Pelodiscus sinensis: one gene and its partners. The protein of the gene in region 1 purifies or fractionates together with the protein of each later gene. This does not show direct contact. Links are inferred from orthologs where the notes say so. Each region holds a gene or a part of one and is shown in the gene's direction. Other genes may lie near its edges.

Region 1 (7,394 bases):
CTGTGGCCCCCAGGGCTTCCAAAGTTGAGTAGCCCTGATTTAAAGGATAGGTTACAAACCATAGTTAATAGTTCTGCAATTTCACATTTGAGTTCTTTCAGAACTCTTGGGTGAATGCCATCTGGGCCTGGTGACTTGTCACTGTTAAGTTTATCGATTTGTTCCAAAACCTATTCTAATGATACCTTAAACTGGGACAATTCCTCAGATTTGTCACCTAAAAAGAATGGCTCAGGTTTGGGAATCTCCCTAACAGCCTCATTTGTGAAGACCAAACCAAAGGATTCATTTAGTTTCTCCGCAAGGACCTTATTGTCTTTGAGTGCTCCTTTAGCAACTTGATCGTCCAGTGGTTTCACTGGGGCTACGTCTACACTGGCATGAATTTCCGAAAATGCTTTTAACGGAAAAGTTTTCTGTTAAAAGCATTTTTGGAAAAGCACATCTAGATTGGCAGGATGCTTTTCCGCAAAAACACTTTTTGTAGAAAAGCGTCCGTGGCCAATCTAGACGTGGTTTTCCGCAAAAAAGCCCCGATCGCCATTTTCGTGATTGGGGCTTTTTTGTGGAAAACAGTTCTGTGATGTCTACACTGGCTCTTTTGCGCAGAAGTCTTTCGGAAAAAGACTTTTGCCCGAACGGGAGCAGCATAGTATTTCCGGAAAAGCACTGATGATTTTACAAGAGGTCGTCAGTGCTTTTCCGGAAATTCAAGCGGCCAGTGTAGACAGCTGGCAAGTTTTTCCACAAAAACAGATGATTTTGTGGAAAAACTTGCAGTCTAGACACAGCCTGGTTGTTTACCGAGCTTCTTGCTTCTGATGTACTTAAAAACATTTTGCTATTACTTATTGAGATTTTGGCTAGCTGTTCTTCAAACTCCTTTTTGGATTTCCTTATTAATTTGGCAGAGTTTTTGTTCCTTTTTATTTTCCTCGCTAGGATTTAATTTCCACTTTTTAAACAATGTCTTTTTATCTCTCACTGCTTTTTTTACTTGGTTCTTAAGCCATAGCGACACTTGGTTCTCTTATTGTGTTTTTAATTTGAGGTATAAATTTAAGTTGAGAGACTATTTCGGTGTCTTTGAAAAGTCTCCGTGCAAAGTTTGCAGGGATTCTACTTTTGGCATTGGACCTTTTTAATTTCTGTTTAACTAACCTCCTCATTTTTGTGTAGTTTCCCTTTCGGAAATTAAATGCTACAGTGTTGGGCTGCTGAGGTGTTTCTTACCCCACAGGGATGTTACATTTTATTACATTATGGTCACTATTTCCAAGAGATCCACCTGTTTGGATCAAATCCTGTGCTCCACTTAGGGCTAAATCAAGAATTGCCTCTTCTCTTGTGGGTTCCAGAAACAGCTGCTTCAAGAAGCCGTCATTGAAGGTGTCAACAAATTTTCTCTCTGCATCCCGTCCTTAGGCAATGTGTACCCAGTCAATATGGGATAGATGAAATCCCGCACTATTATTTTTATTTTTACAGCCTCTCTAATTTCCCTTAGCAAAAGAATATAGCAGTGGGGATATATTACCGACCACCTGACCAGGACAGTGATAGTCACTATCACTTCCTGGTCAGTAGGGTTGCCAGATGGTTTCAACAAAAATACTGGATACACTTGACATTACATCACAATCTACATTACATCTTATTTAGAAAATACCCGACATTTCTATTTTCTCAATTTGTTTCCTGAACAGAAAGCTCAAATACTGGACTGTCTGGTTGAAAACCGGACACCTGGCAACCCTACTGGTGAGGTGGTCAGTAATATATCCATATTGCTATATTCTTCTCATCAGAGCATGGAATTACTTCCTATAGCGATTCTATGGAACATTTAGGCTCATTTCAGATTTATCCCTCATTTGATTCTACATTTTCTTTCACGTATAATACCACTCCCTCACCCACACGACGTGTTGTGTCCGATAGATGTTGTTCCCTGGTATGACGGTCACGTTGCTTGTCTTGTTCCAAGTTTCTGTGATGCCTGTTATATCAATATCCTCCTTTGCAACGAGGCACTCCGGTCCACCCATTACTGGGTGCGTAGAAGCACATTAACGGTGTGTCCCTACTTTGCGGCCAGGCAACGCCGCGAAGCACGTTGACGGCGTGTCCCTACTTAGCGGCCGGGCGACGCCACGAAGCACGTTGACGGCGTGTCCCTACTTAGCGGCCGGGCGACGCCGCGAAGCCCGTTGACGGCGTGTCCCTACTTAGCGGCCGGGCGACGCCGCGAAGCCCGTTGACGGCGTGTCCCTACTTAGCGGCCGGGCGACGCCGCGAAGCCCGTTGAAGGCGTGTCCCTACTTAGCGGCCGGGCGACGCCGCGAAGCCCGTTGACGGCGCGTCCCTACTTAGCGGCCGGGCGACGCCGCGAAGCCCGTTGACGGCGCGTCCCTACTTAGCGGCCGGGCGACGCCGCGAAGCACGTTGACGGCGCGTCCCTACTTAGCGGCCGGGCGACGCCGCGAAGCACGTTGACGGCGCGTCCCTACTTAGCGGCCGGGCGACGCCGCGTAGCACGTTGACGGCGCGTCCCTACTTAGCGGCCGGGCGACGCCGCGAAGCACGTTGAAGGCGCGTCCCTACTTAGCGGCCGGGCGACGCCGCGTAGCACGTTGAAGGCGCGTCCCTACTTAGCGGCCGGGCGACGCCGCGAAGCACGTTGACGGCGCGTCCCTACTTAGCGGCCGGGCGACGCCGCGAAGCACGTTGACGGCGCGTCCCTACTTAGCGGCCGGGCGACGCCGCGAAGCACGTTGACGGCGCGTCCCTACTTAGCGGCCGGGCGACGCCGCGAAGCACGTTGACGGCGCGTCCCTACTTAGCGGCCGGGCGACGCCGCGAAGCACGTTGACGGCGCGTCCCTACTTAGCGGCCGGGCGACGCCGCGAAGCACGTTGACGGCGCGTCCCTACTTAGCGGCCGGGCGACGCCGCGAAGCACGTTGACGGCGCGTCCCTACTTAGCGGCCGGGCGACGCCGCGAAGCACGTTGACGGCGCGTCCCTACTTAGCGGCCGGGCGACGCCGCGAAGCACGATGACGGCGCGTCCCTACTTAGCGGCCGGGCGACGCCGCGAAGCACGTTGACGGCGCGTCCCTACTTAGCGGCCGGGCGACGCCGCGAAGCACGTTGACGGCGCGTCCCTACTTAGCGGCCGGGCGACGCCACGAAGCACGTTGACGGCGCGTCCCTACTTAGCGGCCGGGCGACGCCGCGTAGCACGTTGACGGCGCGTCCCTACTTAGGGGCCGGGCGACGCCGCGAAGCACGTTGACGGCGTGTCCCTACTTAGGGGCCGGGCGACGCCGCGAAGCACGTTGACGGCGCGTCCCTACTTAGGGGCCGGGCGACGCCGCGAAGCCCGTTGACGGCGCGTCCCTACTTAGCGGCCGGGCGACGCCGCGAAGCCCGTTGACGGCGTGTCCCTACTTAGGGGCCGGGCGACGCCGCGAAGCACGTTGACGGCGTGTCCCTATTTAGGGGCCGGGCGACGCCGCGAAGCCCGTTGACGGCGTGTCCCTACTTAGGGGCCGGGCGACGCCGCGAAGCACGTTGACGGCGTGTCCCTACTTAGGGGCCGGGCGACGCTGTGAAGCCGAACGGGGCACATGGGCCTGGGCGGGCAGGCCCCCGAAGGGCAGCTCGCCAGCGGGAGGAACACCACGCCCTGAGGGCTCGGCCCCCCGCCCACCCTGCGCAGCCCCTGGCCCGAGCCTGCCTGGCCGGACTAGGGGCGTTAAGCCTGCCTGAGGGGAGGCGGGCGCTGCTGCTCTGGAGAACCCCAGGGCTGTGTAGCTTCCAAGGGGGCGACCCCGGCCCCCCCGCCTCTTTCTGACAGATGGGGGAGCGACTAGCGAGGCGCCCCGCCGGCGCAAGCAGCAGTTGCTGGGCAGGGCGGCACAGGCCGGACGCGCCTGAGAGGATAATGGCGGGAAGCTCGAGGCCACCGCCGGGCTAACGGCCCCCCCGCGCATGCGCGCGGCGGGCGCTCGAAGCCGGGGACTAAACCTTCCACCTGCGCCCGCGCATCGCAAACGCCACATGTCCCGCCTCCCACGCGCGGGCCGACTGCGCACGCGCATTCCGGCGAGTTCCGCCGCGCCTGGAGGGGGAAGGGAAAAGGCTTTCGAGAAGCCCCGCCCATTTCTGGGAAACCACAGGCCCCCTCTGTCCAATGAAAGCCGAGAGCCGGGGCGGCGGAAGAAGCGACCCTGCGGCAGCGCTGCCGACGGGGAGGAGCGAGGCTGCAAGGAGCACGCGCGCGGATTGGTTCTAGGGAGGCAGGGGGCGTGGCTACGATGCCTGGCAGGCCGGTTGGGCGGGGCCGAGGCGGCGGGGGCGGGGCCAGGCAGGTGCTGGGGCAGATGCGGCCCGAGCTCCCCAGGCGCCGTGGAGGGAGCCTGAGGCCTGCGCCGCGCCCGAGGCCCCGCACGGACCGGAGCGGGTAGGTGGGCGCGCGCCGGCCGCTTGGCCCCTCCCCGCGGCGCGCGACCCCGTTACTCGCCGCCCGGCCGGGTCCTACCGCTCCCCCCGCGGCTCCGGCCGAGCCCGCCCGGCGGCCGGCTCCTGTAGGGGGCGCTGGCTCCCCGCCGCCTCGGGGGCGCGTCGAGGGGGAGGTGCTGTGAAATGGGGGGAGTGGGGGCGCGTCGAGGGGGTGGGGCTGTGAAATGGGGGGAGTGGGGGCGCGTCGAGGGGGTGGGGCTGTGAAATGGGGGGAGTGGGGGCGCGTCGAGGGGGTGGGGCTGTGAAATGGGGGGAGTGGGGGCGCGTCGAGGTGGTGGGGCTGTGAAATGGGGGGAGTGGGGGCCCATCGAGGGCGTGGGGCTGTGAAATGGGGGGACTGGGGGCGCGTCGAGGGGGTGGGGCTGTGAAATGGGGGGAGTGGGGGCCCGTCGAGGGGGTGGGGCTGTGAAATGGGGGGAGTGGGGGCCCGTCGAGGGGGTGGGGCTGTGAAATGGGGGGAGTGGGGGCCCGTCGAGGGGGTGGGGCTGTGAAATGGGGGAGAGTGGGGGCGCGTCGAGGGGGAGGGGCTGTGAAATGGGGGAGAGTGGGGGCGCGTCGAGGGGGTGGGGCTGTGAAATGGGGGAGAGTGGGGGCCCGTCGAGGGGGGTGGGGCTGTGAAATGGGGGGAGTGGGGGCCCGTCGAGGGGGTGGGGCTGAGAAATGGGGGAGCTGGGGGGCGCGTCGAGGGGGGTGGGGCTGTGAAATGGGGGGAGTGGGGGCCCATCGAGGGGGTGGGGCTGTGAAATGGAGGGTCTGGGGGGCGCGTCGAGGGGGGTGGGGCTGTGAAATGGGGGGGAGTGGGGGCCCATCGAGGGGGTGGGGCTGTGAAATGGGGGGGCTGGGGGGCGCGTCGAGGGGGGTGGGGCTGTGAAATGGGGGGCTGGGGGCCCGTCGAGGGGGGTGGGGCTGTGAAATGGGGGGGCTGGGGTCTTAGGCAGTCCCATGCAATAGTAACCCCTAGTCTCTGAGGGGCAAGAGCAAGCCAATCAGTGTTCATATTTACCACCCTAGTGTGAGCATTGCCCTGTTGGGCTCCTTGGCTCCCTTTCCATCCAGATGTAGCTTCCACGTGTCAGCTCTAGAATTCAGTTGTTTAAAATGTGTTAAACAGTAAAACTGCTGTTAACTTTCTAAAGTGAGGATACCAGAAATCTGAGCTGTTTCTGGTCATAAATTGACTTCCTCTCTTAGAACCTTCTGCTGGGAAGCATCAGCAAAGGCTATTTGAACTTGGGTTGATTTAGTTGGGATTGGTCCTGCCTTGAGCCAGGAGGCTGGACTTGATAACCTCCTGAGGTCTTTTGCAGCTCTGATTCTATGAACTTGTTAAACTAAAATAAGAGAGTCTTCGTTTCTGACATGAATGGTTTTGATAGCAACATCTGATACCTAGTATGTTTTGAAAATAACAATGAAATAAGGTATTAGCAAAACATCAGCTTTATTCAGTGGAATACTGAAAGAGTGGCAGATTTGGATGTGTATGATAACTTTAACTATTTAGTTAAGGTATGATAGCTGAACTCTGTTTTGTTCCTTTGATTTCTACTAGTGTGTTGTGCAGCCTAAACATCTTCACATTGTTAACGTTATGTGAAGTATTTCAGCAAATTAACAATTATTTTGTGAAACATTCTTGAACATAGCAGAGTATTCCTAAGTGATCTCATTACTGACTAATATGTATCTTCAGCCTAGAATTCAGTTGAACTTGCTCTTTCTTTTCCATGTGTTCCTATAGTAGCTTCAGAGGAGGCCTAAAGAGACACTTTTAGCCCAGATGGTATCTTTCTACTAATGAACAGACTTTTTTCCTTTTTGATTTGGGGGAGGGGGGATAACTTACTTCTGCCTGCTTTCTGCTTCTTTACAGCAAAAAAGCATTCCTAATAAGTTAGGAGAGTAAACAGCAGACTTTTGCTGTTTTGATTAGGAGTTGCTAGGTGCAGATCTGCAAAAGCTATCCTTTACAGTGGGGGAGGAGAGAAAAAGGCAGAGACCTTGATCAGCCAATCAAAATATACAAGTGAATAAGATCTGGAGTTCAGTTTAACTGCCTGTTTACTCACTACTCATTATCTGACCATCACTTCTCTTTAAAACAACTTTTTTTGGCAAAAGGTTAAAATACTGCTTTGCTGATTAATAAGTCACTGCTGTGGTTGATTTCAGATGCTTCCTGTCTGCTTCATCTTAATATCAGTTAAGCTGGAAACATACGTGCACGAATTGAAAGTGGCAGCTTGACACATCTTGCAAATTGCTTTTTAAATAGGATTTCTGAGCCCTTGTATGAGTGATAATTCTTCTTTGTTTATCCACAGTGTGAGTCTGCAGATGAAATTAGGGTTAGAAGACATCCAAGTTACTCTAAGCATCATAAGGGCTATACATAGGTATATACATTTAACTATCTTAAATCTAGTGGCTGTGCAGTTGTTATAATTGATTGCACATGTAAAAAGTTGAATTACTAAGTGATTGTTGTCATGAAAAGCTGAGTCTCTGAATATCATACTGTTACTTTAACCTTATTAATAGCAACAGCTGAGTGGAAGGAGAGGTCAGTCAATTTTGTACACATTTGTTGGTATTCTTAACTTTTGCATTTAGCATGGTGATGGTGCTTTAGAAATATCTAAATGTCTCAACTTAAGTTGAAATTGTTTGCTATAAATCTTTAAAATATTGCTGTTTGATTAATAGTATTTTTCTCAGATTGGACAGTGAAACTAAATGAGTTAGTTTAGCTTTCTGGGTCTTGTTCACTATTGTGATGATGTGTTTGGGGTTCACAAGGTAAGGGGAATGTTTAAATAAATCTTATGTGGAAATGCTTCCGTCTCTACTAAGTTTAGTAAAAACCATTT
Region 2 (7,160 bases), on another chromosome or scaffold:
CCAGAAAGTGCTGCATAAGCACAGACCCAGCCGTCCTGAGGCCCGCCAGCAGCCCGCCGTGTGCTTGCAGCCTGCCCGTCTCTTTCCCTCATCCCCTCTTTGTTTGCAATCGCCTTAAGCGCCTGTTTCCAAAACAAACAAGAGAAAGGGAGGAGGGGAAAATGAGGCTGATGTCGATCAGCTACCTGACTCCATAAAAACCTCTGGTCCCAGCTCCTTGATGAACCCGTTTGGACCTCTCAGGGTGGCTTGGTGTAAGGGTTGTCTCAGAGCTCTGACTTCCTCCCTCTTTGCCAGCAATACTGCAGGGATCTCCCTCCGGCACCTGATTATAGTTTGTCATGGAATTAAGTTTCATTGGATGCATTGCCTGCAGCTCTGTCCTCCACCCCATGGCACCACTTAGGGCAAATGTGTCCACCAGGGGTTTTTTCTTGTGGCCCCAGCCTCCTGGGCTGGGCTGGAGAGGAAGTGGCTTCTCCCAGTTGCTCCTGGATGTATTGCTTTGGTGTTTGATGGAACCTAGGTCAACCTAACGTTTTAGTGTGGAGCAGGCCCAGTTTGAGCATGAATTACAGTGGTTTACATTACATGTAGCTGCATGAGGGGTTTCCCCAGGTTACCTACCAATTGGTTAGTTATACTGGTGCAAAAAGCCCATGCCTAGGCCATCCCTAAGGCTGCATCTTGGAAATGGGGTGTTGAGAACAATAGGCATTTCCCAGGGCTTCCCCCATTTTAAAACTGTCCCCCATCCTCCCCAGCCCCTGCTGGATAATGGGGAGCAAGAAGATAATGGTGGGTGGAAAGCAGGTGGGTACTGTGAGCTTGCAAACCTACCATAAGCCAAGGGCAAGAAGGCTTTTTTTCTTGCTTCTACTCTGTTTATAATGTTGTCCACGTTAGAAAGGTTGCTCTGATTAAACTCTGTTGGTTTCTAAACCAATAAGATGACAGCAATACAAAAACCCCACAGAGACCAGTCCTAAGTATTATCCCTCAACACAAGCAGGGAGAGTGTGGCTGCTCCCCCCCAAAACATGATAGGGCAATTTGATCCCTTGCATCACTCTGGAATTTCTCTCACTACATGAGTTTCCATGGGGTAAATGCCTGAGAGCTGCCAAGGGCAGGGGAGGGAAAGAACATGGGACAATCATTTCATGGGGTCCGTCCAAACTCTTTTGGGACAATTGCCGCAAGACTTCACAGGTGCAAGGTGGGAGTCCATGGACCAAGTAGGCAACTCTAAAGCTTCATTGTGTAGAAATATTCGCTTAGGCACAGAACTCTTCAGTATTTGTTTTTAATATTAGTCTCTGCCTTTTCCCCAGAACTGTTCACTTAAAAACAAATTGAATGGCTAAAATAAAAAAAAACCACAATGTTATAAATATGCTGCTATTGATTGTTTACCTACCAGGACTTTTTTTTTTCTTTCCTTTCCTTATTTAAAATAAAGACATTTCCAAAACACTCTCATTTTACACTATTTTTTTCTCTGTTATTTCTCCTTTCATCTAGTTTAAAACAAAACACAGCAAAACCCAGATATTTTCCTTTTAAGAGGTAGAAATTAATGGTTCACCCAGTCTGGCATCCTGCCTCTGGCAGTGGCTAATTCCAGATGAGTAAGAAAAAGGTGACAAATTTTCATCAGACCTATGGTTAAGGAAGGTCTCAACATGCAAAGGGACATCAATCTGATTGTGTGAGCAAAGAAATCTGTGCTGGCAGAACTGGGGCCTAAGTATCCCAGCAACAGCAACCAGCCTGGCCACCACACGGCCACAGCCCTGACTCCCGGTGGCAGCAACCCGCCCGCCTGCAGCTCTGATGGCGTAGCAACCCACCTGTCCATGGCCCCAGCCCTTGATAGCAGTAATCCACCCAGCCATGGCCCCAACCCCGGAGGCAGCAAACCATCGACCCACAGAGCTCTAACCCCCAGCGCAGCAACACACCCGTGGTTCTGACCCCTAGAGCAGCAACCCACCCACCTTGTGGCCTTGGCTCTGGCAGCAGCCACCCTCTGATACAGCCCAGGGCCTACCCTGCCACGGGGGCCCCGGTTCTGGGAGCAGCCACACCACTCACCTTCCAGATTCAGCAGGAAGGTGAGTGCTGCTGTACTGCTCTGTGAAGGAGGTGGGTTGGGTTAGAATTGTTTGTGTGCGGTCATGCACTTTAGAGGGAACACTGGTCCAGAGTTACAAATAAATAGCAGAAAAAGAGGGGCTGGGGAGGGAAAGGAAAGGGGGGGAATTATCAATTACAGTGTCTGTGCTAAATGAGGCTAATTGAGTGGGCTATAAATGCCCAATACTTAACTTGTAATGTCATTAGGGTGTTGAATGTAGTGCCCCATCCAAGTAACGTCTTTGTTCAGACCTTGGTTAAAGGTGTCAAAGTTGCAGATGAAGGTGATTTCTGCAGCTTCTCTTTCCAGCTGGTTTTTTAAATTGCTTTGTAACAGGATGGTCACTTTGAGATCTATTAGTGACTGCCTGGTCAGGAAAAAATGTTCCCCAACGGGTTTCTGTATGTTTCCATTTTGAGTATCTGATTCGTGTCCATTAATCCTTTGTCATAGAGACTGTCCAGTTTGGCTAATGTACATGGCAGACAGGCATTGCTGACACAAATCACATTAGTGGATGTGCAGTTGTATGAGCCTCTGATGTGGTGGCTTATGTGGTTAGGTCCTGTGATGATGTTGCTTATCATAGAATCATAGAACCATAGAGCTGGAAGAGACCTCAGAAGGTCAAGTCCACCCCCCTGGTCTAGACAGGACCAATCCCAACTAAATCAACCCAGCCAGGGCTTTGTCAAGCCTTAAACACCTCTAGGGATGGAGACTCCACTACTTCCCTAGGTAAGCCATTCCAGCACTTCACCACTCTCCTAGTGAAATAGTTTTTCCTAATATCCAACCTGGATCTCTCCCACCATAACTTGAGATCATTGCTTCTTGTTCTGCCACCTGTCACTAATGAGAACAGCCTCTCTCCATCCTCTTTGGAACCTCCCTTCAGGAAGTTGAAGGCTGTTATCAAATCCCCCCTCACTCTTCACTTCTGCAGACTAAACAGACCCAACTCCTTCAGCCTCTCCTTATAGGTCATATGCTCCAGCCTCCTAATCATTTTGGTTGCCCTCCGCTGGACCCTCTCCAATGCGTCCACATCCTTTTCGTAGTGGGGGGTCCAGAACTGGACACAATACTCCAGATATGGCTTCACCAGAGCTGAATAAAGGGGAATAATCACATCTCTGGATCTGCTGGCTTGCATAGATGTGTGGACAGAGCTGGCGCTGGAGTTGATTGCAGGGGTGCATTCCTGGATGAGTATGATGGAGGTGTGCTGCGTGGTTACAGGAGAGAATTTGTTTGAGGTTAGGGGGTTGTCTATATTTGAGGACTGGCTTATCCCCCAAGGCCTGTGAGAGTGAGGGGTCATTTTCCAGGATAGGTTGTAGATGGTTGATGATGCGTTGGAGGGGTTTAAGTTGGGGTCTATGGTTTAAATGGTGTCTTGTTTTCTTTGTTGGGTCTATCTTGAAGAAGCCGATGCCTGAGTACTTGTCTGGCTCTGTCAATCTGTTTTTTTCATTTCCCTGGTGGGTATTTCAGTTTTAAGAATGCCTGATAGAGACTCTGTAGGTGTTTGTCTCTGTCTGTGAGATTGGAGCAAATCCAGCTTTATCGTAGGGCCTGGCTGTAAACAGTTGATTGAGAAATGTGTCTTGCATGGAAGTTAGCCTGGTTTAGCAGGACACTCTAATTGACAATTTTCCCCCTTCTCTTTCCCTCCCCATCACCTCTTTTTCTGCTATTTATTTGTACCTCTGGACCCCTTGCTCCATCCATCTGAAGAACTGGGCTGTGCCCACAGCTCCTCTGCATGGTTTGTTAGTCTCTAAGTGCTGCAGGACTATTTGTTGTTTTTTAATTTTTTTCAATAGTGGGATGACATGGTAGCAGGAGATAGCTCAAAAGTAGGGTGACAGAGTAGCGGGGTATAAGGAGCTTCCCGGGTATTGAGGGAACTGGGGAGTATGAGCGCGGTGGGAAAAGAGAAAGTACCAGGATCCACAGCAATCATGGGCCCCGCAAGACCCAGCGTGGCCCTTTTAAGGCGGAGGGATCCAGGGGCCGGGCTCAGCCCCTATATAAGGCTGGCGGAGGGGGTGCCGGCTTCTTTCTCCCGGCCGCACCGCAGCGCCAGTAGCAGGGACTGAGCTCGCTCCTGCCCGAACCCCAGCCCATCACGGTAAAGGCGGGGCGGGCGGGCTCGGCTGGGGAGGGGGGGGGGGCACGTGGCGCCGCCGGGCGCTGCCATGTTGAGCGCGGCGGGGGGGCGGCTCGCGGGGCCGGGCCGCGCGGCCGGTGCCGTTGACCGGTCGGGCGCGCGCTGATGCGGGCTGTCCGCGTTGCAGATGCCGGAAGCCGCGCAGCATGGCGAGGAGGAAGTGGAGACCTTCGCCTTCCAGGCCGAGATCGCGCAGCTCATGTCGCTCATCATCAACACCTTCTACTCCAACAAGGAGATCTTCCTGCGCGAGCTCGTCTCCAACGCCTCCGACGTGAGCCCCCCCCCCCCCCCCCCCCCCGCCTGCCCTTGGGCCAGCCCGGGCCGCGCGCGCTAACGGCCTTCGCCAGCGGCGCCCGCCCTTGGGAATCCCCTCGGCGTCCCTCCCCCGCCAGCCTCCCTGGCGCAGGGGAGCCACAGCCCAGGGCGGGTTTGCCCCGCTGCCCTTGGGGGAGCGGGCATGGAGGCGGCATCCAGCGTCACCCGTTGGTCTGCAGGGATTCTCTCTTCCTGGGGGTGGGGTGGGGTGAGCCCATCTCTGGCCTGTGTGTTGCTCCGATGGGGTATCCACAGTGCTGCTCTCATGCAGGGCCTTGTGTTTTACCCCTTGGAGGGGTTTGAGTGAGCCCAGGCCCTTTGTTGGGGGTGTGTGTCATGCTCCCCTTCCTCTCCAGAGCAGGCAGAGGACGAGATCCAAGGAGCAGGTAGGTGAATAGTAACTGGGCCTTGCAAACCTTCACTCTTCTCCTCCAGGCCCTGGACAAGATCCGTTATGAGAGCCTGACAGATCCCTCAAAGCTAGACAGTGGCAAAGAGCTAAAAATTGACATCATCCCAAACCCCCGGGACCGCACCCTGACTCTGGTAGACACAGGCATCGGTATGACAAAGGCCGACCTCATCAACAACCTGGGCACCATTGCCAAGTCTGGTACTAAAGCCTTCATGGAAGCCCTTCAGGTGAGTAGTCTTGAGTCCGGGCACAAGAGCGTGTGGGCCTGGGCACCTCCTGGGCTCGTGTCCTTCATAGGGCCTTACAGCTTCAACACTCAGTGTTTGCTGGAGGGACAGTCGCCTTCTGGGTCCGCATCCTCCCAGGGAGCAGCATAGAGTGCTCTTGGCTTGCCCACGTGTTTCCCTGCTCCCTCCTGCACATAGAGAAGGTGGCGGGGCCCTGCCCTATCCCTGTCTCTACTGTGCATTGGCCCAGTTCCCTGCTACTGGAACACACCTGACAGACATCGCCGATTTCTGGTGTCCTGATCTTCTCATTCTGTCTCCTTCCCTCTGCAGGCTGGTGCTGACATCTCCATGATTGGGCAGTTTGGTGTGGGCTTCTACTCCGCCTATCTGGTGGCTGAAAAGGTGGTGGTCATCTCCAAGCACAATGATGATGAGCAGTATGCCTGGGAGTCATCAGCTGGGGGCTCCTTCACTGTTAAAACTGATCATGGTATGTACTGTGGAGATGGGGCTTGCAAGGAACCAGCTGCCCCTCTCCTCTCTATCTTCCATGGGGTCCCATGGCTTTGAGAGGGTCGATGATATGGGGGGGGGGGTGAGGTGTTGTAGCCTTAACTGCTACTGGTGGTGAAACAATCACGGGGGGAGAAGGTCGCAGGGTTGTGTGTGAAGGTGAAAGTAACCTGTCATCTTGGGTTAGGTCTCAGGGCTATCCTGTAGGTGCAAGAGGAGAAGGCTACTCTCAATGCTAACCAAAGCCATGGTTTAAGCTTGGTGCAGGCTCAGTACTAGCAGTGCATCTGCCCTACTTTCTCATGACCTTGGCTCCCATTAGAAACACTGTGATGATCCTCCCTTTAGTTTAGCGGTGGGCTGCACCTGCCATTGACATGAGATCTCCAGTGAGCTCTGTCCAGCGGTAATGCCACAGCCTCTCTCCTGGTGCCACAGGTGAGCCCATCGGGCGCGGCACCAAGGTGATCCTGTACTTGAAGGAGGATCAGACAGAGTACCTGGAGGAACGGCGGGTCAAGGAGGTGGTGAAGAAGCACTCACAGTTCATTGGCTACCCCATCACCCTTTACGTACGTATGTGAGATGGCAGGACCCATGAGAAGGACAGATAGAACATGGGAGAGGCCCAGGCTGAGACTGGGGAGAGATTGGTACATTCTGCCTTGAGCCTTCCTATCCCCCCGTGTGTGTATGTAAGAGACTGTGATGGGTGAAGGCAAGAGCTGGGCACTCATCCTGCTGCTAAGGAGTTGGCCAGAAGAATGGTACGAGTGGAAACTAGCTCACTGCCTCTAGGGGGAGGGTATCACAGAAGGGGTATACTGTTCTATCAAACTCACATCCCTAAAATCCATGCCGGTGCTTTGGGCCAGCACCTCCCCTACCTGGTGAGGGGGTGGGGCTGGAATTCCAGCCCTCTGTCTCCTCTTGTTTGGGCCTCTAGTGCATGAGCTATGGGAGGTCTCAACCAGCTGGGGGTGGCCATGGTTCCTTATCCTCTTGGTTGTCCCAGCCACTGAAAGGCACCATTTGCAAAATGTGAACCAGTGCTTTATGTGCCGTGCATCACGGCAATGTTTAGCTTAGTAGGACACCTACCTCCCTTGGGGCTATGGTGTTTGTCACTGCCCTGATCTTCTGCAAATAGGAGGCCCTGAGTAAGCTAGTTGTCTTTGCCACGGCCGTCTTTCTACCTCTTCCTACAGCTGGAGAAAGAGCGGGAAAAGGAAATCAGTGACGATGAGGAAGAGAAGGAGGAGAAAGAGGATGAGGACACAGCCCCCAAGGATGAGAAGCCCAAGATAGAGGACGTGGGCTCAGATGAGGAGGAAGAGGAGGGTGGTAAGGGCAAGAAGAAGAAGACCA
Region 3 (7,125 bases), on another chromosome or scaffold:
AGCTGAGAAAGCGCCTCCTGACCTCGGCCACTCCTCACCGCTCGGCCCGGCCTCCGCGCCCGCGTGCAGAGAACCAGGGCAGGGCGTTTTCCTTCTCCCGGCTCCGACGGCGGCTGCCTGAGTGTCAAGTCCCAGAGCCGGCAGCCGGTCTCCGCGCCGCGTTCTCCTTGCTCCTGGCACTGGAGGCAGGGCAGAGCCTGGGCCCGGGACCCAACGGCAGCCTTGTTGTGAGGAGGGGCGGCTGGCCGTTTAGACGCAAGGGAGGGGCGCAGCCTGCAGGTATGACATCACAGCTCCTCGCCATGGAGACGGTGATGAGGTCACGCACCCGGGGGCCAGTCTGGCACAGACCTATGGGATCGCTGCTGTGTGCCAAAGCCCATGCCTGCCCTGGCTCCATCGGGCCGCAGGGCGGGGGTGCACCCCTAGAGTGGCCCCCCATGCAGGGACCTCTGCAGCTGTGGCTCGGCTGGGCTTGCTGCGCCCACCTGGAGGCAGGGTGCTGGGGCACCCCGCAGCTGCTGCAGCCTACACTGGGGCTCCGGGGAGCACATGGGGGGCTTGCACCCCCATGCTGTCCCTCGTGCTCAGTACCTCGGAGCCAGGCCTGCTGCGCTCAAAGGGGGGCAGGGCCCGGAGGGAGGCGGCAGCCGGCAGTTCAGAAGGGAGAAGAGGCTGGCTGGGATCGAGCAGGGGGATGGGTGTGAGCCGTTTCAGGGTAGCTTCCCCCAGCAAGGTCAGCAGGGTAACACCACCCTGAGCCCGCCGGGCATTCTGCAGGGCTGCTCCACACCCCTCGCTCCTGTGTAGCTCCCGAAGGGCACGGCCAAGCAGGCCACGGTCATACCCCTATTTTACTGAGGGGGAAACCGAGGCAGGCAGCGGGGCAGTGACTGGCCTGAGGTCACCTGGCAGGCCATGAGCGGAGCCAGGGCTGCTAGAGCCTCACCGGAGGCTTCTGCTACCCCCCACTGCAGCGCGCAGGCCACGTTTCTTTGGGAGCCGGCAGGATGTCCCTCCCCCTCCGATCTTCCCACTCTCAGAACCGCCCCCCCCCCCCCGTCATTCCACTCGCCCTCTGCCTGCCTGCATGTAGCCCAGCCCAGCCGCCCCGTCTCTGGAAGGGGGGCGGGGGAGGCAGCGTCCCTGCTCCCAGCGCGAGGCCGGACGCCCAAGCAGCAGCTCACTGGGCCAGCAGCCTGGGACCAGGGCGGGTGAGCAGCGGAGATGGGCAGCCTGAGGCACCAGGGCCTGCGCTGGGGGTGGGATTTCCCGCTGCGTAAGGACAGCCGGGTCGCACCCGGAGCTCAGCAGGAAAAGGCCGTTCCAGGCCGGGCCAGGGCTCCACCTCTGCATCTCGGGCAGTGAGTCCACAGAGCCTGCGCCAGTCTCATTGGGAAGCACCTAGGATCCCAGGGCGGGAAGAGCCCTCTGGAGGCATCAAGCCCAACCCCGACTCCATCATCCCAGCCAGGGCTCTGCCAAGCTGGGATTTAAAACCCTCTAGGGATGGAGATTCCCCCCTTGCCTAGGGACCCAGCCCAGCGCTTCCCCACCCGCCTGGGGAAAGTTTGTCCTAATCTCCAACCTAGAGCCCCCACTGCAACGTGAGCCCATCGCTCCTCGTTCTGCCACCCGCCCCACGGGGAACAGCCTCCCTGGAACCCTGGACGGTGGCTACCAGGATCCCCCCTCGCTCTTCTCTTCTGCAGACTAAACAAGCCCAAATCCCTCGGCCTCTCCTCGTAGGCCACATGCTCCAGCCCCCTCATCATTTTGGTCGCCCTCCACTGGACCCTCTCCAATGCGTCCACACCCTTTGTATAGTGGGGGGGCCCAGAACGCAACACTCCAGGTGTGGCCTGTGGGAGAAAAATCAAATAACTCCAATTGTGTCTAAGGGGGGACTGTGCAGGAAATCAAAACTCTAAAAGAAAACTGCTGGAAGGGTTACAAAGTTTTCCAGGCCTCTCTCCCTGTAACAGAGAGAAATCAAATTAGCTCTAATCAAGACCCTTCCAATGCCTCCTGTCTCAAGTTCATGGATACTCCTAGTCTGTCACAATTTGTCATGTAAACCCTTATCTTTGTCACGGTTTGCCTTGTAGACTCCTCCACTCACGTTCTCATGTGGCTTTGTTCTGTAAAACTTACTTCTAGCACTCCTGGGGTGAACAGAAGTCTCAGAGTGCTTCTGCTGAGACTTTGATATGTTAAAGAAGAACAATCCACAACTGGGCTGTCTGAACTTACTGTATAAAGATTCCCTGAATCTGTCTGTCAGGGCTGCTTCACTCTTGGTGTGACAGCCTGCATGCATGCATCAGAAAGTTTTCTCTTCTAGGTTTCTCTCCTGCCTCACTGATTTGACCTCCAGCCTCGGACCCTTCTGGGGGCTCTGTACCCCAGGGGAGCGAGATTTCCCCCTCAGGCCTCACCGGAGCCGGATAAAGGGGAATAATCGCTTCTCTAGATCTGCTGGCAACGCTCCTCCTAATGCCCCTAATCTGCCGTTAGCCTGGGCCACAAGGGCCCCCCATCGACTCGTCTCCAGCTTCTCAGCCACTGTAACCCCAGGTCCTTTTGTGCAGAACGGCTGCTTAGCCAGTTGGTCCCCAGCCTGTAGCAGGGCTTGGGTTTCTTCCCTCCCAAGGCCATGTCTGAACCCTGCACCCTAGGATTAGGAAGGGATCTGAGGGCAGGTCAGCCAAGGAGATTATCTGCACCCCTATTTCTGTGTCAGGGTGACCCCCAGTGGTTGCAGGGGTAAGTGCAGTTCTCTTTCATCCTGCGCCTGCTGAGAGTGACATCTTACATCCTCTGGGGGAGTGGGTGCAGCCGCCACATTCCATGCTGGTGGCCGACCCTCAGCTGACATAAATGGGCGTCTCCCCCATTAAAACGACGAGGCTTGGCCTAGATATACTATTTAGCCCCACATGACGATTCCAGCCCCAGAGGGAAACTTGGCACGAAGGGTCACAACCATGCAAAGCCAGCAGTTGTGAGGGAGCGCTAGTACACATGCAGGCGTTGTCAGCGTGGGAGCAAAGTTCGCAGCCTTGCTGTCCTCGGGGAAGCCATCGCTGGAGGGGGCTGACTTCAGAGCTCTAAGGAAAGACTTGGGTTTTGCATTAACAAGGCTTCAGACTAGGGATGTGAGTGACCATTTAAACCTCAGTGTGTCTACTCCCCCCCGTGCTACTGGCTCTGAATCAGAGCCTGCAGCGTGGGGTGGCTGCCGGCTCCCTGGGAGCGGAGCTGGCATAAGCTGGCTCATGGCATTCACCCGCTCCCAAGGAGCCAGCTATGCTGTGGGCTGTGCAGTGTAAGCTGTATACTGAGCTATACCATTTTTTTACGTCCTGCTCCGGACCAGTGTTCCCAGTTAGCTGAGCGCTTGGGTGGCCACCCAGAAGAGATTCCAATGCCATCCAGCCGATTAGCAGGGCACCCACTCGTGGTGCACAGAGCGGACGCTGTGCAGACGGCACGCGCTGGGGCGAGGCGTGTTCCCTTTCTCAGGATTTGCTGGGGAGTCTGGCCCCGTCTGCAGCCCCCAGTGATCGGAACACGGGGACTCTCAGCCGACTCGCGCTGGGTTGTGGGGAGAGCCCTGAAAACACAAACCCCTTCAGGGACCACAAACGTGCGAACAGCCCCCAGCTAGTGAGCGTGAGAACAGCACGAGCGGGGCACCAGCGGGTGCACGGTGCAGCTCCCCAGCCGTGCGTGGCCCTGCTGTTTTGTGGGTACCCGGTACCGCCTCTGCGGGGCACGTGGGGGCCAGGCCGGTGCCCACGGGGCGTGTAACCCTGGGCGTGCCCCTCCCACACCGCGTGCGCGCGCAGCAGGTAGGGCGCCTGCAACCCGCTGACCCCTGAAGACACAGGCCGTGTGTGGCCCTTTAAGAGAAGCGCCATTTGGAGCACAGAAGGGGGAGCGCATGCGCAGTAAACGGCCTCTGGACCAGAATTCGCGCCCCCGTGCCCCTGCCGCTGAACGTGTGGAGCCGCCAGCCGCTGCTGCGCATGCGTATCCGGGGCGTGGGCGCGCACGCGCAGCTGCGCGTACGAAGCCTTCCCGCCGACGGGCGCCGGAAGTGAGTCAGGGCGAGGGCGGAAGTGGGCGTGCGGAGGCTGGAGGGTTCCAGAAGTGGCGCCATGGTGGATTACAGCGTCTGGGACCACATCGAGGTGTCGGACGATGAGGACGAGACTCACCCCAACATCGACACGGCCAGCCTCTTCCGCTGGCGCCACCAGGTGCGGCCCCGCCCCGGGGAGCCCCCCGTTCCCATGGCGACCGGCCCCGCCCCTGGGGAGCCCCCCCGTTCCCATGGCGACCGGCCCCGCCCCGGGGAGCCCCCCCGTTCCCATGGCGACCGGCCCCGCCCCTGGGGAGCCCCCCGTTCCCATGGCGACCGGGCCCCGCCCCTGGGGAGCCCCCCCGTTCCCATGGCGACCGGGCCCCGCCCCTGGGGAGCCCCCCCGTTCCCATGGCGACCGGGCCCCGCCCCTGGGGAGCCCCCCAGGCCCCTCCAGCCAGGGTGCGATGGGGGCAAACTGGCTCGTGCGAGTCTCTGCTTGAGGCCCCGGGGCTGCGGGGGGAGGAGCTTGGGGGGGGGGGCTCGCACAGGCCCGCGGGCCCCGGGCTCCACGTGCTGCCCCCCCCCCGTGGTGCCCAGAGGATGCTGCCCGGGGGGTCCCTTGGCTTCAGCGAGCCCAGGCCTTTCGTAGAGCCCCCAGCGGGAGGCGCCGGCCCCAGCAGTCCCCAGCCCGGGGCAGGCTCTGCTCCTGGGTGGACTGCGTTGGAGGCAGCCCCCCCCTTCCGACTGAGGCCTGGCTCCCCTCCCATCCCAATGGCACCCTGGCTCCCAACCCACTGTCTTTGGGCTCTTCCCGTGGGGAGCCTGCACTAGTGGGGCTGGGCCCCCAGGACGTCTAACTCTCGGGGTCCCTCACCTGATTGCAGAGGCGTGTTGAGAGAGGGGAGCACTGACATATCGTCTCTCCTTAGAGTCCCTTCTCAATACCCTCTGGGTTGGTGCCCTCTCCCCGCAGCCCTGCCTCCAGCGGGGCAGAGGAGGCGTCCCACTTTCACCCCTACGATGCTGGAGGAGAGGGCTCATGGGAAAGCTGGGTCTGACCCTGAGCGGCATCAAGCCAGGAGCAGCCTCCCTCCAAGTCAGGAATGGGCAGCAATAGCAAATGGACTTGGGTGCCAATGAATCGGTTCTCTGATCTCTCCAGCCTAGTGAGTGGCTCTCCCAGGTGGGGCTCCTCTAGGCCTGAGACCCCTGGGACATGCCACGGTTCTGTCAGATCAGGCCTAGCGATGTGAAATATCAGTTCATTGAATAGTCAGTTAACCTCATGAATTCTTATTGGTTACTCGACTATTTGATAGTCCCCCGGGGGGGGATACTGCGCTCCAGGCCTGCTCCCGAGGAGCCTCCGGTCACTCCACGCTGCTGCTTCTGTATCAGGTAGATCTTCTGTGTGGGAGCAGACACTCCTACAGGAGTTGAGGGTGTTCAGTAAGGGAGGCGATCCCCCTGGAAACTTGTCTTCGCAGGTACTCAGAGGGTTTTTTCTCCTTAAGCAGGCATCCTGCATAGTACGTATAGGGGACTTCAATATGGGGACTTCAGTACCTGAAAAATATTCTGGAGCAAATGACAAAACAGTATCTCTAGAGGATGCCTGGGTCAGAGGGAGGAGCCGGTGGTTTTGTTGACAATAGATCCTGCCAAATAACCTATTTCCCTTGTTGACAGATGCTGGCTTAGGGCAGAGGGGAGCGGTACAGGGTTTGACACAGGCAGTCTAGATAAAATCACCACAAGATAACTGGTTGACGGTGGCCCTCAAAGAGTAGTCAGTGGTTTGCTGTCAAACTGGGGGTACTATCTAGCAGGGTCCTGAGGCAAGCCTGTTCCATAGTTTCATTAACGACTTGGATAATGAGCATAGACTGCCCTTATAGCATCCAGCCCAGAGGGGTTGCCGGCACTGTGGATGGCCGTTGGAATTCAAAACAACCTTGACACGTAGAGAATGGAGAGAGACTCAACAGAGGAAGTGGACTAAGGAGAAGTGCGAAGTGCTGAATTTAGGCAGGAGCTGGGAAGTGCCCAGCACAAAACAGACCAGCTGGCTGGGTGGGGGTAATGGAGGGAGCATGTGGGCATTAGAGCGGATGACGAATTGAATATGAACCAACAATGTGATCAGTTGCCAAAAGGGCTGGTATCGGGCTGGGGTGTGTTAACAGGAGCTTTACTTATGTAGCTGTCCTGCTTTCCGTGACGCTGCGGAAGCCTCGGTTGGAGTCCTGTGTCCGTTTCTGGGTGTGACCCCTCAGGAAAGTTGGCGAGAGTTCAGAGGAGGAGGGTCAGAAAACCTGACCTCTGAGGGGAGATTGCAAACCCTGTGCATGTTTAGTCTTGATAAAAGACAACTGGGGGTGGGGGGGGGGTTGATAATAGTCGTACAAGCTGTTAAGGGCCGGTGGATCTGTTCGCTGTGCCCACTGAAAGCAGGGCAAGCAGCAAGGGACTTAATCTACAGCCAGGGAGTTTGTCTGGAGTCGAGTTTTTTTTTTCCTCATATTAAAGTGCCATTAAGCTCTGGACTAGGCTCCCCAAGGGCACGTGGATGCCTCCGTCGGAGGGGTTATGAGCAGATGGCCACGTGCCTGTCAGGGATAGTGTAGGGTTACTTGGTCTTGCCTCAGCACAAGGGCCTGGACTTGGCAAGCTCCCTTGCAGCCTGACATAGCTGTGATTTTTGTTATCGGACGCTCTGTGATTCTCCAGTGAAGGGCGGATTTATAGCCCTTTAGTACAGAGACAGACGCTGGGGCGCAGAGCAGGGAGGGAGCTGCCTGAGGAGATGCTGCTGCCTGGCTGCACTGACCTAAAGTCAGGAGTCGGGAATGTGAATCCTAGAGGAAACCCCAGGGCTTGCTGCCCTCAGGTGCGACCCCAGGAAGCTATCTGGCAGAAATCCACTCCCGGTCTCCCAGTAACATTCTCCCCACAGTCGCTCTGGCCCCGTCTCCCAGTAACATTCTCCCCACAGTCGCTCTGGCCCCGTCTCCCATAACATTCCCTCCACACTC

What was found.
Region 2: the proteins of MAP3K14 (region 1) and HSP90AB1 purify together in Homo sapiens (affinity purification with mass spectrometry; 4 studies listed by BioGRID and IntAct, with this or other methods). This does not show direct contact. The link is inferred for Pelodiscus sinensis from reciprocal best matches to the Homo sapiens genes MAP3K14 and HSP90AB1.
Region 3: the proteins of MAP3K14 (region 1) and CDC37 purify together in Homo sapiens (affinity purification with mass spectrometry; 5 studies listed by BioGRID and IntAct, with this or other methods). This does not show direct contact. The link is inferred for Pelodiscus sinensis from reciprocal best matches to the Homo sapiens genes MAP3K14 and CDC37.

Annotation. Positions count from the first base shown.
Region 1 is NC_134739.1:810,874-818,267, reverse strand, and holds the start of MAP3K14 (mitogen-activated protein kinase kinase kinase 14), read left to right. Parts: upstream 1-4,317; 5' UTR 4,318-4,465; intron 4,466-5,460; exon of another isoform or gene 5,461-6,920; intron 6,921-7,394.
Region 2 is NC_134713.1:140,492,428-140,499,587, forward strand, and holds the start of HSP90AB1 (heat shock protein HSP 90-beta), read left to right. Parts: upstream 1-4,140; 5' UTR 4,141-4,277; intron 4,278-4,443; coding exon 4,444-4,590; intron 4,591-5,069; coding exon 5,070-5,276; intron 5,277-5,609; coding exon 5,610-5,769; intron 5,770-6,230; coding exon 6,231-6,364; intron 6,365-7,000; coding exon 7,001-7,160. UniProt on the Homo sapiens protein: Molecular chaperone that promotes the maturation, structural maintenance and proper regulation of specific target proteins involved for instance in cell cycle control and signal transduction. Undergoes a functional cycle linked to its ATPase activity.
Region 3 is NW_027465991.1:191,866-198,990, reverse strand, and holds the start of CDC37 (hsp90 co-chaperone Cdc37), read left to right. Parts: upstream 1-4,105; 5' UTR 4,106-4,163; coding exon 4,164-4,265; intron 4,266-7,125. UniProt on the Homo sapiens protein: Co-chaperone that binds to numerous kinases and promotes their interaction with the Hsp90 complex, resulting in stabilization and promotion of their activity. Inhibits HSP90AA1 ATPase activity.